Linked DNA regions of Canis lupus familiaris. The protein of the gene in region 2 binds, or shares a complex with, the protein of the main gene of each other region. Links are inferred from orthologs where the notes say so. Each region holds a gene or a part of one and is shown on either strand. Other genes may lie near its edges.

Region 1 (7,155 bases), on a different chromosome or scaffold from region 2:
TTCTACTCTCACAATCCTTGTTTCATTTTTTTCCCTTACCCTTGCTTGAAGCAATAATACCTTCAAAGCTATGAGTTAACACTAAAATAAAAATAGTTATCAGTGGAACTCTGGAACTGCAAAGTCCTATACAGTAATAATATCTACATATAAATAATTTCAACAAGATAACTTCGATATCACAGATGCTGCACATGTTTCTATCATTGCAGAAAGTTCTACTGCACAACTGCTCTAAAACTGTAACCCATACTCTTGTTAATTATCAAGGTAAAATCTAAAAAAGGAATTAACACCAGCAGTATTCCCAAAGCCTTTTTCTTTCCCCCTACACTCCATTAAACTTGGCTTCCATGGAAACAAACTCAAGATGAGAGTAATTCTTAGAATAATTTCAATATCAAAAGATACAGAACTTACCTACCTGGCATAATAACAATAATCAAATTTGTGTTTCAACTGTGAAAATGCTAACAATTAACTAGAAAAATTAATTTTAGTTAAAAATTAACTAGAAAATACTCAGTAAGACTGAGTTTTAGTAAAATACAGAACAGTTAGCTAGATGTGTAGAGATTTAGAATATTCAATGCATTGTCTTAACACTTTAGATTCCTATTTGCACTGACTTTATGGTTTGGAAGCATGAATACCCTAATAATTTTTTTTTTTTTTTTAAGAGGGACTTATGTTCTCTAAATTGAGAATTAAACAAATGACTAAATATCAAAATTAAAATAATGTGATTAGGAACTGACCTAGTGATATTCAACTTTCCCCGAATGCAGAATACTCCAGCAGCATCTGAGTCCAAACGAAATACTTCAAATTCTAGTTCATCACCTACATTTATCTCCAGGATCTGCCACTGCTCAGTAGACATCTGCTCAGGTTTAGGAATGGAGGCATTGAAACACCCATGTACTAAACAGCCAATGTGGCTGGATGACACTTTATTAACTATACCCTGGGAAGAAAGAGAAAAAAAAAAACTGTAACATCAAGAAATCCAGAGTTAAAAGGTAAATAAAACTTTATAAGCCTCAAGTTGATCTTCAAAAAAAAAAAAAAACATCAAAATATGGTATAATTTGACATGGAAAAAATTTTTTTGATTGAAATTTACATATTATACTAAACCATCATTTTAAAACACTGTAGAGATTTGAGAAAAGTTCAACTTTACTAAGTAATTGCATATCAATTGCCTAACTGGATAAACAACTATTCTTCTCACTCCCCCCCCCCCCCCCCCCCCCAATAAAAACAACTCCTTTGCTCCTACTACAGGATTCCCTGGTGAGTAGAGTATAACCATAATGAAACCAAGCAGAAAATACTCTTTGATATAACCTAAATGTGAAATGTAGATCTTGAGCATGGCTATTTTGACTGAATCACAAAGCATTTTGGGAAGCTTTAAAAAGTATGTGCTATATGATTTTAAGCTTAAAATATGAAAGTTTCAAAAAAAAAAAAAAAGCCTTAGTTTTCTTTTCTTTCCCTACAAATCAATGTATATAATGTATATAAATTAACATCTGAAACGTTTAAGTCATTTATTTTAAACTTTAAACAAAACTGTATACATGTTAGTGTTGCAACTCCTTATACACAAAAAATTCATTGGCTGTCATTATTAGGAGTCTGGTGTTCCCAATGGTACATTCTGGGTGGTATGGACAAACTGCACTGCATCTATACAATGAGTACTAATCAGCAATAAAAAAATAACTATCAAGCCATGAAAAGACATGGAGGAACCTTAAATGCATACTGCTAAGTGAAAGAAGGCAAGCTGAAAGGCTACATACAATATGATTCCAACTATATGACATTCTGGAGAGGGTAAACCATAGAGACCAGACAGTAAAAAGATCAATAGTTGCCAGGATTCAGGAGGATGGAAGGAAGGTGAGGGGTGAATAGGTAAAATAGAGAATTCTGAGAGCAGTACCCAATTATTCTACAGGATACAGTAAAGGGAACACAGGACACAGGTCATTAAGTTGTACTTACATTCCCTGGGTTTTAGAATGTACAACAGGAAAAACTAATTCTAAACCCTAAAAATAATAATGTATCAATATCAGCTTAAGAACTGTAACAAATGTTATCACACTAATGCAAGATGTCAACAATAGGAGCAACTGTGTTTGTGTATGCTGGGGTGGAGAAGTGAACAGAGGTATTATTTTCTACTCATTTTTTCTGTAAATCTAAAACTGCTATAAAACAATAAAGCCTATCAATTAAGGAAATAATAGGAAAACGAACATCTTTTCAATACAGGGTTCTAGAACTACTGAATAACCATATGAATAAGAAAATATATCTCAAGGATCTACTTCATATTACACACAAAGATTAAAGACTTATCACAGATCTAAATAACAAAGCTAAAACTAAAAAATTCTAGAAGCTTATAAAAAGTATCTTCACAATCCAGCAGTAGGCAAGTTTCTTACGTAGGATCCCAAAAGCAACAACCAAAAAAATAAGACAAACTGATCATCAATATTAAAAACTTCTGTTTATGAAATGATACCATTAAAAAGAGACAAGTTTACCAACTGGAGTAAAATATTAACAAATGATCTGAAAAGGATCTGTAGGAAGGCTACAAACAGAACTACTATACTTCAATAATACAAAAACCCAATTAAAAATGAGTAAAGCACTTAAATAGGCCCCTTACTGAAACACATGAAAAAGAGCTCTAGAGAAATGCAAATTAAAACCGTGATGGGAAACTCGTATATGCCCATCAGTAAAATTAGAAGAGTGACAAAACCAAATGCTGGCAAGGATGCAAAGCAAGTTATAGTGCTGAATGGGAAATTTGCCTGTTTTTCATAAAGTTAAACACATCTACTCTGTGACCTAGCATTCCACTTTTAGTTTTTACCTAGGAGAAATGAAAATGTACATTCACAGCTTTATTCATAATAGCTCCATAATGGAAACAGCCCAAATGTCTATCGATGAAGACAGGCAATTAAATTATACATTCATGCAACTGAATACGACGAACAACAAAAAGAAACCATTACAACAAACAGCATGCATGAAATGCAAAAAAAAAAAAAAAAAAAAAAAAAACATGTTGAGCAAAAGAGGTCAGATTTTCAAACACTGTATAATGAAAAATTCCATTAACATGAAATTTTAGAATAAACAAAACTACTTTCACAATAAATGTAATCAGAACAGTGGTTGTATTCTGGAATGGAGAGAGGACTGACCAGGAAAGGGCATAAGCATCTTTCTGAAATAGAACAGAATACATGCTCTCACCAGAATTTATTGAACTGTACACTATGATCTGTGCGTTCTGTTGTATGTAAATTAGATCTCATTTTATTGTATGTAAATTATACTTCATATTAAAAAAAACTGAACACACTGTCCAAATGTATTTGAAGACTGGATCTTATTGTAGGGAATAGAGTAAAAGGATTGATTTCTTTTTTCATTTCATATTTTCTGTATAGTGTGGTACTTCCATGTATACATTTACAGTAACTTATACAAAAATTCCTACACTTAACTGTTACCAGCTTTAAGTACAAATCTATTGCCAACTTTAGAAGTATAGAGGCTGGTTGTAGGATCCCAGCTGGTCATGCCCAGGATGCTCTACCAGTTTAACTGATTCTGAAAAGCTTTTTTAAATTATTAATGCCTTACAGATTTGACAGTAAAATTTTACCTGTGTTTTTATTAGCAATAAAGGGTTAGTTAACAGTTCTTAAATGATTATGCAATTCCTACATAATTTTTTGTTAAAGGAAAAAATAGACACGTGTATATATATTCTTATGTATATATATATCAATGTATACATGCAGAACTGGTAGGAGAGGCTAGTGCAGAACATATGAGGATATACTTCAGCTTCTTTTGAAAAACTAAAAGACCTATCCCACAGGGCCTTTATCATATGGCGCGTTATGGGTGCTCTAACCTCATTCTTCATTCACTTTCATTACCTGCCTGGTCCTGCAACCATTTGAATTTTCAACTCCTATTTGATATAAAGGATTCGAACAGGGTAGTAGTATGAAGGAACTATTGTGTATAACTGAGAAATTATGAAATAAAATTTTTTTCTTACTGCCTAAGATCATTCTGATGCTATCCAAAGAAAAGAATAAATTCTATTAGACACATTATCTGCATACACATGTGAGTTTGAGAAGAATGGAATTTAAAAATTTACCAAGATTAAATGGACAGTAATTTTTTTTCTTTTAAAAATAATTTTCAGGAAACCACAACAGCAATCCATTTGCTTCCCAAATCTCTTAAGATTTTCCAAATTACATAATTATACAATTAGAGAAAGCATAAAAAAGTGTGTGTATAAATACATACCATAAGCTTTTTCCCTGGTTCAGGACAGAAAATAACAAAATCTGCTTCGATGTTAAGATGAATGTGTCCTTGATCATCATAAATATCTCCCAGTTCACCCACTACTTTGATGTTATCATATGCAATGGGGACACCTGAAAGGCTATTAGAAAAGAAAGAAATTTATTTTTATCTTCTTTTAAACTAGGCCATAATTATTAAATATTCAGAGTCCAAAAATTATATGCCTCTTAAATATACTCACGCATGCCAAAACACAATAGCATATGATTAATCCATAACAACTTGAGTAATTCAATTTCACCAAAAGGTTCCAATATATTGACTAAATAAAAGACTGTTCAAGACAGGTACCCAGAAACAAAATGTCCAATTATACATGAGCAGTAGGTTGACCTATTAGAATTCTAGTCATGCTAGAATGTGGGGGTGGGGGTGGGGGGGAGACTTGAATGAAAAATGTCTCTGAGTATAACCAAATCAAGACAATTTTGGTATTATCTACCATTACTGAATTTCTGTACTGGATGGCCTATAGTAAGAGAATTACCAGAATCACAGGTCAAGCCCCTGAATATTAAAGCCAATGACTTAGAGAAAAATCCTCAAACTCCATCTGTATGTAACAAATAGTAATGTTAATAAATGAAATATATAGTTATAATTATTAAGAACCCATTTTGCCACTTTAGTCTACATAGGGGACAGGATTAGGGAGCAACTACTATTTGAAAATGTCATTTCCAAGTACTTAACAAATTTTAACTACTAAGGAGGCAGACCTGGTGGCTTCACTACCACACCTACTACTTGATCAAGAAAACGTCCTAGACTCAGCAAGGCAAGGATGAAATCACTCCTCCTCCACTCTTAGAAGATTCCATGGCACAGCATCATCACTGAACTTAATCTCATTTTATGAACTATCTGCAAATATGTTTGCATTCCACACACTACTAGAGTAGTGGCCCTTCAGAGCCCAGCACATTTTTGTTGAACTCTACTAAATTTCTAAAACTATTCACATGGCATAAGAGAAAGAATTTATCCCTAATAGCTGCTGCTTAAATAAAACAGCCAGGAGCCACTGGAAAGGAACTTTAATAACTATCAAATCAAAAAGACCAAAAACTCAAGAGATTTATTCCAGAAAGCATTTTTTTGAACTGTTAGTGTCTGCTTGTGTTTTCCCAAGCAGGAACTACACCATCACAGAAAATCAAGAAGTCTACATGACCTCTGAGGGAACAAACTGATTTATAAACAGATGTACACAGAATCTAATTTTACTGTATACACACACACTTTATATTTGTGTGTGTGTGCGCGCATATATATATATATATATATATATATATATGCACACACACATATATCAGTGTACAGGCATGTTTCCACGGTTTCAATATACATTAAAATTTCCAGGAATGTAGTAGCAAATTCAAGAGTAGTAGGGAATTTTACTGAGAACTGCTCATCACTTCAGAAAAGCATTTCACCGATGGAGATAATGTATGTCTTCTCTAAGTTGTCAACTCAAAACCCCTGCATCAATCCACCCTTATATAATGGAGACATTCACAATTCTTGTGTCAGTGCAGAAGTCATCAAAGTACTTCAACTATTCCTAGGTAGTCATGCTTAAGCATTATCACATTGAAATATAATTTATTGTATTGTGTAGGAGCACTTACAAATTCTTTTTTCAATTATGTAGGTAAGTTGTGTTACCTTTAAGTTTCAATTCACAGTAAAGATGTACTTTCGTGATAGTAAAGATAGTATTGCAAAATATTTACTCTAAGAGATGTATTGGGTTCTGTAGGGTTCAAAATTGATAATTAGGGAATGTGACCATAGAGCCTAAACCCAAAAGGATTTGTGTAAATCCATTAAACCTTTGAGAAACCCTTCACTAGACATCTCAATTTTTTCCTAAATAAAATACCAAAAATATTGATTACTACACATAAATTTATCTACTTTTGTCTTATTAAAGAGAAATTAAAGATAAATTTAGATCTGTTCATAAACATGTTTTATCCTTACTGAAAGATCATACCATAGAGGAGGACAGACCTTGGGAGGAAAGAACACTGGGGGCAGAGAGGGAAGAGAAGACCTAGCCCCCAGTACCCCGGGTTGGGGGACTGCAGTTAAAAGACAAATCCCCATAACATTTGGCTTTGAAAACCAGAGGGCTTCTCCAGTTTTGTTAACAATCAACAGGGCTTAACACCTGGAACTTTAAAACTCAGCAGGCCCAATACATTAAGAGGCAAGAGGGAGATAGAAAACTTGACTCTCCCTGCCCTTAAAGAAACTGCACAACAGCCCTGCTTGAGATACAGCACAGAAGTAGCAGATCGAAAAATGCCTGGGGTATACAGGAAGGAGATTTATTTAATAATCTCAGAGCATGTACTGGAGACGCAGGGAACTTTGGGAGATTTCACCAAAAACAAAAGACCTGGTGGGTGCTATTTCCCTCCCCAGCACCTGCCCCCAGCCTGACTACATAGACAGCTGCAGGGTCCAGCACAACCATCTCTACCTATCCACCTAGCTTGCTGAAAGCATGCCCCAGCCACACACTTAATGTGGACCCACCCCCTTCAACTGCCTACAGGAGTATTCCCAGGCTGCTTCAGCTCCCTTCTCACGGGAGACCAGTATATAAGAGACCTTGCTGGCACCATGTGCAGGACACCCAGCTTCTCTGTTCTCCTGAAGATCTTGGCTGAAGCCCATCCAAAGTAGTGCCGCACGCCTTGCGCC
Region 2 (7,155 bases):
ACTGAAGTCTATACTTCGCCCAATGCAGAAGAGAAGTAGTGAATATTAGCTCTGAACAATCGGACCACCAAGCCCGTCCCCATTTTCAGAGGAGTAAAGAGCTGGGCCAATCCTCCAACCCGTGTTGGCAGCTACAGGAACCTCACTGTTACACAGTCAGAGATAAAGATCTGGACAAGCACACGCATTTTCTTCTCTCACGAGAGCTGGTTGAACAAATAACAGGCTGGAAAGGACTAGAATAAAATGTCTATCATGGACTTACTTTTCCGCTTAATCACTTTCTGTGCTCGAAATTTGATGAGCGTGTCCAGAAACCATATGCATCGGGCCTGGCGGTCTCGGCTCTTCTCATCTGATGGCAAAGACTTCAATGCTTCTATGACAAAGGAGCAGTGGCTAAAACAAGGGGGACAAGGGAGGAATATGTAAGACCAACCCTGTCAGGAACCACTGACGCTCATGATGAAAACAGCGGGCATCCTCCACAGCTGATCACATTCAACCGTTGAAGAGCCATCCTAATATCCTCCTTATTACACAGTGAGCATGGTTTAGTGCTAAGGCAGGAAAGGGCTAGACAATAAATATTTTAGGCTCTGTGGGCCATTGGATCTCTGTTAAATCTACTCAAAGCTGCCAGTGTAGTGCAAAAACAGCCATTAATAACAAATGAACCGCCATAGCTGTGTTCCAATAAGACTTTACTCATAGACAGCAGCCTGACCTTGGCACACAGGCCATTGTCTGCCCCGTCCTGATGTGTGGTCTGGAGCACAGGCCCTTCAGTTAGATTGCCTGGGTTTGAATCCCCTCTCTACCAATTAGTAGCCTGGGCAAGTTTCAGTGTGTCTGTACATCTCCGTACAACATCTTCACCTAAAAATTAAGGACAAAGATAGTGGCCTCCCTCTAGAGGTTTTTTGTGCATTAAATGAGGTAACGCAAGTCTCATTTAAAGCATTTAAAACAGTACCTGGCACATACAAAAGCTCCATCAATGTCAGTTATTCTTTTATGAACTGTTCTACTACCATGAGGCCCAGACTCACAGAAATAAAAAGGCTCTTCAAGATCATCTTGCAGCAGGCTCATTTTACAGATAGGAAAACTGAGCCTCAATGAAGGGAAGATCACACAGTACCTCAGGCAGAGCTCAGGAACTCAGTTCTCCAGACTCTCGGCCCAGAGCTCATTCCTCACCTGCTGCTGAGCCATGATTACATTACGACAACCAAGAACCAGTAATAAGTTTTTCTGGAAATGTATCTTTGGAACAACAAAAGCACCTTCAAAAATCAGGGAACCAACCTAGGGTTTTCAATTTTTTATTTTCTCAAGATGAAATTATTAAAAGAAAAAACTCAAAAGCAAGAAAATTCCACTGTCATCATCAAAGAGAAGCTGCTTAAAACAAACAAAAAAAACAAAGAGAAGCTGTTTAAGGGTCAAAAGGTACAGGGGAGATCATCTGAGTTATTTAAAATATATAGTATTTAAATATATAAACTTAACTTTTTAATTTTTTTAAAGATTTTATTTATTCATTAGACACACAGAGAGACAGAGGCAGAGACACAGGCAGAACGAGAAGCAGGCTCCATGCAGGAAGCCCGATGTGGGACTCGATCCCAGGACTCCAGGATCATGCCCTGGGCCGAAGGCAGGCGCTAAACAACTGAGCCACCCAGGGATCCCCTAAACTTAACTTTTTTAAAAAAAGATTTAAAGAGCACACGTGAATGGAAGAGCAGAGAGAGAGAGACAGATACAGATAAGACAAGAGAAGAACCCTTGCTGAGTGTGGAGTCCAACTTGGGGCTTGATCTCACTACTCTGAGATCATGACCTGAGCCGAAATCAAGAGTCGGATGCTTTATCGCCTAAACCGCTCATAAATTTAACTTCACGTATAAAAGCTCACTCGGCATCAACCATCACTTGCACTGGCACCAACTCGCGGGCTAGCGCCTGGGCCCCACTGGTGATGATCACAATCAGCATAGCCCTGGGGACACAGGCCTGCTCCGGTTCAAAGCCCAACCTTAAGGCCTCACCACCCTCTGCTCAGCCACGGGCTCCAAGCACTCAGAGGCCACCTCGTTCTCCCTTGAATGCCACCCACAGCCTTGGGACAAGAGGCTGGAAAGCCCAAATATTTTCAAGAGAACACTGGCTCGTTCATGTTCAGATCCTGAAAAGACATATGCCCTCACCGACTGACACCCCTAAAGGTCTCCTTCATGTCTGACTACTGTTGAGCTCTGCCATCACAGCCCCAGATGCTCCATCCACCCAAGAGGGGAGGATACCTGTTCTCTTCAATCATCTTCAGTATTTCCTCTGATGAGACATTCCTGAAAGCTTCAGATGGGCTCTGAAGAGCTTCATACTCCGCAGTGGACAGAACTAGTTAAACAGGTCAAGAATATAATCTGATCCAAAGAAAAACATCTAACCAGCTATCTCATCTCAGAGCGGCTCCATATTCGAGATGGGAAAGTTGAGGCCAATAGTACACTGGGGCTGAGCGCAGGGACACGGTTTTCCAGACTCCCAGCCCAGAGCCCATTCCCTGCCAGGCCTTTTCTGCTTCCATGGCTCATCACAAAGCCACTGCAGGCATTCTCCCTCTGACCAGACCCATGAGTAGGGAAATTCTATGCTCCACCTTTTACAGATCAGTCTGCTCCAGACTTAGGGCTGACTTAAAAATCTTATTTTGACTACTCATAGCAAGTGACCTCCATAGGGCTGAACTTGAGGGTATTTGGCACTTTGCTGAGGAATGGGCTTGACCCTCAGCCAGTAAGGAAGCCCAGGTAACTTCCCAGCAAAAGGGCCAGGGCAAGGGCGAAGATCTGGATGTAGCTTCTCTGAGCATCATGGGACCACCAACAGCCTCAGAAAGCCTGTCTGTCCACTCATGTATGCACATCCCAACTTGGGAAGTAAGGCAGTGTTTCTACTGCAACAAGGATACGGTCTTCAAATTTATATACGTCTTCAGGCTTGGCTGCATCAGCGTGGCAGGGAGGAAGGTAGAGGGAGTCATCCTGCAGATCATCATGGATGGCATCGTTGACCAGAGCTTTTTGATAAAGGAAGAGACAGTGTTAGTATCATCCTGTGTGGCTTCAGGTTCCCCAATACTCTGAAACTTGTGCGCTCAAGGTTGTAATTGGTCCAAAAAATCCTAATCTGAATGCTTCTGCCAATGTGGCCTGAACTCTCCATCAGGCTGGCTGCTGGGTCTGGGCTGATGTCCACTCATAACACAAACCTAACCAGGCACTGGAGAAGGCTCACACAGTGAGGGCCCTCTCAAGTAACTCGCACAACAGTTCAGAGGACAGGTGTGCTAATAAATATTTACAGTGCAAGAGAAGCCAAAAGTCAGGAAGAGAGCTTTTAATGGCTTCACTTCTGGAAAACTTCCCCATATATTACGAGTAAAAATCAGAATATAGGGACACCCGGGTGGCTCAGCGGTTGAGCATCTGCCTTTGGCTCAGGGCATGATCCCGGGATCTGGGATCGAGTCCCACATCAGGCTCCCTGCGTGAAGCCTGCTTTTCTCTCTGCCTGTGTCTCTGCCTCTCTCTGTGTGTCTCTCATGAATAAATAAATAAAATCTTTAAAAAGGAAATAGTTTGTAAAAAAAAATCAGAATATAAAACTGTGAACTACAAGAATAACCATGTAAGATTAAGAACTTATATAGACAAGGACAAAGAGGAATACAGGAACATTCTAATAGTTGGTCTGGTAAAATGATAGGGAATGAATGAATTATTTATCTTTTTTTAATTAGGATTTTAAAAACCAATTTATTTTATTTATTTGAGAGAGAGACTGAGTGCCAGTGGGGAGAGGAGCAGAGGGAGAGAACCCCAAGCTGACTCCCCACTGAGTGTGGAGCCCCACTCAGGGCTTAAACTCATGACCCCCTAAGATCATGCATGACCTGAGCCAAAATAATGAGTTGGGTGCTTAACCAACTGAGCCACCCAGGCACTTCTTTTTCTTTTCCTTTTAAATGTCCTTTGACAGCTGAGAATTAAACTAAACAAAAATATTCAAAAATTTACTTACACTTTCAAATAAACAGAGAAACATATTTCTATATTCCAGGATAAAAAAAACCCATAATATTGTAAAGATGTTGATTCTCTCCATATTCATCTCAATTGAGGGAATTTGATGAAATAATTCTTAAGATCACCTGGGGGAAAAGGCATGCTATTCTAACCAACGTTTGTGAAAAATAAGGAGGGAAGGAGAAGAGGAGGAATTTGCCGCATCAGAAATAGAAGCAGGAAGATGAGGGTACTGCAATCAAAAGAGCCTGGTGTTCCCGCAGGAACAGAATGGACAGTTGGACAGAACACAGAATGTGCTAAAGTGAGAAGGATAGCTTTTTAAATCATCTTCTACAAAGAAAAGGATGGAGTTGGGGCAGCTGGCTAATCCTTTGGAAAATATAAGGTCTTTACCATATGGCAAAAAAGTATCTTCATTAAAATTTATATGTAAAAAGTAAAATTGTAAAAATACGGAGAGAAAACATAAGAAAATATTTATATAATCATAGGGTTTGGAAAGATTTTTCTAAAAATTACTAAAATCCCATCTTATTTATTTTTTCTTAGGTAGGCTCCATGCCCAGCAAGGAGCCCAATGTGGGGCTTGAACTCACGACCCTGAGACCAAGACCTGAGATAGACAGACGCTTAACCAACAAGCCACTCAAACACCCCTAAAATCCCCCCCTTTTTTTTAAAAGATCTTATTTATTCATGAGAGACACAGAGAGAAAGAGAGGCAGAGATACAGGTAGAGGGAGAAGCAGGCTCCACGCAAGGAGCCCGATGTGGGACTTGATCCTGGGACCCCAGGATCACGCCCTGAGCCAAAGGCAGGTGCTCAACCACTGAGCTACTCAGGCATCCCCTAAAACCTCATTTTAATAGAAAGGCTGCTCTTATGTAAACTTTCTCTTATGTTCTCATAATGCTTTTGAACAAATACACTTTTAAACAATACAATTAAACACTCAAGCTACTGATGAATTTAGGAACAGAAAAAGGTCCACTGATCCCAGAGTGAAGCACTATCTGTAAAGGCTCACTTCATCGTATCAGTCTTTTTGTCCAAAACTTTCCTGTGATTCCCAGACACTGAGGCTTTCTCCCTTCGCACCCTGGCACTCAGGACACAGTGTAAACATACCCGTTCCCATGCCCGTCTCCTCCGCTTGACTGTGAGCTCCCTGAGGGCAGATGTTTCTTACTATTTCCAAAGTCTGTTCCCAAGAAGGTGCTCAGTGAGAGTGAGGAAGGAACCCAGCCCTAACACACCCTTATTTCCATCTGTGGAGCAGGTAAGAGATCTCAAGAGACAAGGAAGCTGTCTCAATGAGCAGACTCTTACTCCAAGTCCCAGCTGCTTACCAGTTACACCCTTCGCATCAATAATATTCTCTGCAGCTTTAGCTACTGCACAGTTCAGAGATTCACTGCCAACTGTGTTCATTCTTCTGGAGTTCAAAGCCCGCTTCTGTTTGGTGGTTCCAAAGGCTTCAATGCAAGAATCCATCTGTGCATAGACAAATTTGGTTTGTGTAGGGACAGTCTGGGCACTACTACTCCTAGCTGTGTGACCATGCGGAAACTCAGCCTTTCTAGGCCAGGATTACCTCACCTATAAATCAGGCTAAATCATACCTCTCTATCTCACAGGCTGGTGTATTAGCAGATCTGAAGTACCTGCTTTGGCTAATTTTTTTTTTTAATTTTTATTTATTTATGATAGGCACACAGTGAGAGAGAGAGGCAGAGACACAGGCAGAGGGAGAAGCAGGCTCCATGCACCGGGAGCCCGACGTGGGACTCGATCCCGGATCTCCAGGATCGCGCCCTGGGCCAAAGGCAGGCACCAAACCGCTACGCCACCCAGGGATCCCTGAAGTACTTGCTTTGGAAACTGTCATGGGCTCTTTACAAATCAACAGTGTCTCCATTTGTACAGTGAAAAGCCTGGATCAGAATGAGGATTGGTAAATCTGGCACATAACTTACCATTTTCCAGCCTTACACCCATAGCAGATGTTGCTAATCACTCACTCTTTCCCACTGAGCCTGAAGACAGCCTCACACCTTCTCAATACAGTGCTCCAGGCAGCACTGAAGACTCAATCAATTTGCAATCCTGGAGTGAGATTAGCTTTATAGGAACCACCTACGCTGAAAATCCTGAAGTTTACTCTGTTTTAATGTGAAAGCTTCCAGGCTACAGCCAGAATTTTCTGAAACTTGCATTCAATCCAAAAACAAGTGTTACACTACACCTATGTCAGCCCAGAGAATCAGTTCCAAACACTGGGATGGAGCTGAGTATAGCTGCCCCAGGCGGGAGGACGGCGCTCTGTGAAGCTGAGAAGCCTCCACAGGCAGGCTGACTGGAGAACCACAGACAGAATGAGCTGGGAGCAGCCCTGTGCTCAGTCAGCTCATTTTCCTGATGGAGAAGCACAAGGCACAGAAGGAACGTGAGGCAGGTCCCATGTCTCACTTCTGTCATTCTTACCTTTTCTCTAAAAGTTTTGGCCTGACTCTCTTGTGTCAAGTCGCTCTCAAGTGATTCATCTATCAAGACACAAAACAAAAATAGGAAAAAAGGAAGCTGTAAGGCCCAGATTATAATAGCATTTAATATTTATTCACTGTTAATCTAAGACAGACAGATTTCTTTACTGTAGGACTTCCCAGAGTTTAACATGATGGATCCTATGAATATTTAGTCTGTCGCTTTAGTATACAGTTGGAGGATATGGAGAAGAAATTAAGGAGTCAAATGAAGGGGTCATCTGGTCCAACCTCTTCATTTTACAAATAAGGAAAAAGCCTCCCAACGAAATGATTTGTCCTAAGTCAGTTCACCAGGCAGTGGCCGAGATGGGATTAGAAACCAAGTCCTCGGCTCTTTGCAGTAAATAGTTTTGCCCGCCTTATAAAAGATAAGCAAGCATAAATGTAAGGTATGTGTTACTTACATGAAGCTCTCTTATCTCCCATAAAGTATTCATATAAGGGCAGTATAATCTAGAGGGTAGGAGTATAAGCTCTAGAGTGGCCTTGTCTGAGTTTCAATCCC

The links.
Region 1: POLR1E (region 2) and POLR1F share a complex: the UniProt entries of both Homo sapiens proteins name them as parts of the RNA polymerase I (Pol I) complex. The link is inferred for Canis lupus familiaris from reciprocal best matches to the Homo sapiens genes POLR1E and POLR1F.

Annotation. Positions count from the first base shown.
Region 1 is NC_049235.1:33,896,285-33,903,439, forward strand, and holds part of POLR1F (DNA-directed RNA polymerase I subunit RPA43), read right to left. Parts: intron 4,520-7,155; coding exon 4,378-4,519; intron 968-4,377; coding exon 759-967; intron 1-758. UniProt on the Homo sapiens protein: Component of RNA polymerase I (Pol I), a DNA-dependent RNA polymerase which synthesizes ribosomal RNA precursors using the four ribonucleoside triphosphates as substrates.
Region 2 is NC_049232.1:54,131,819-54,138,973, reverse strand, and holds part of POLR1E (DNA-directed RNA polymerase I subunit RPA49), read right to left. Parts: intron 6,648-7,155; coding exon 6,589-6,647; intron 5,599-6,588; coding exon 5,454-5,598; intron 3,092-5,453; coding exon 2,984-3,091; intron 2,410-2,983; coding exon 2,313-2,409; intron 400-2,312; coding exon 266-399; intron 1-265. UniProt on the Homo sapiens protein: Component of RNA polymerase I (Pol I), a DNA-dependent RNA polymerase which synthesizes ribosomal RNA precursors using the four ribonucleoside triphosphates as substrates.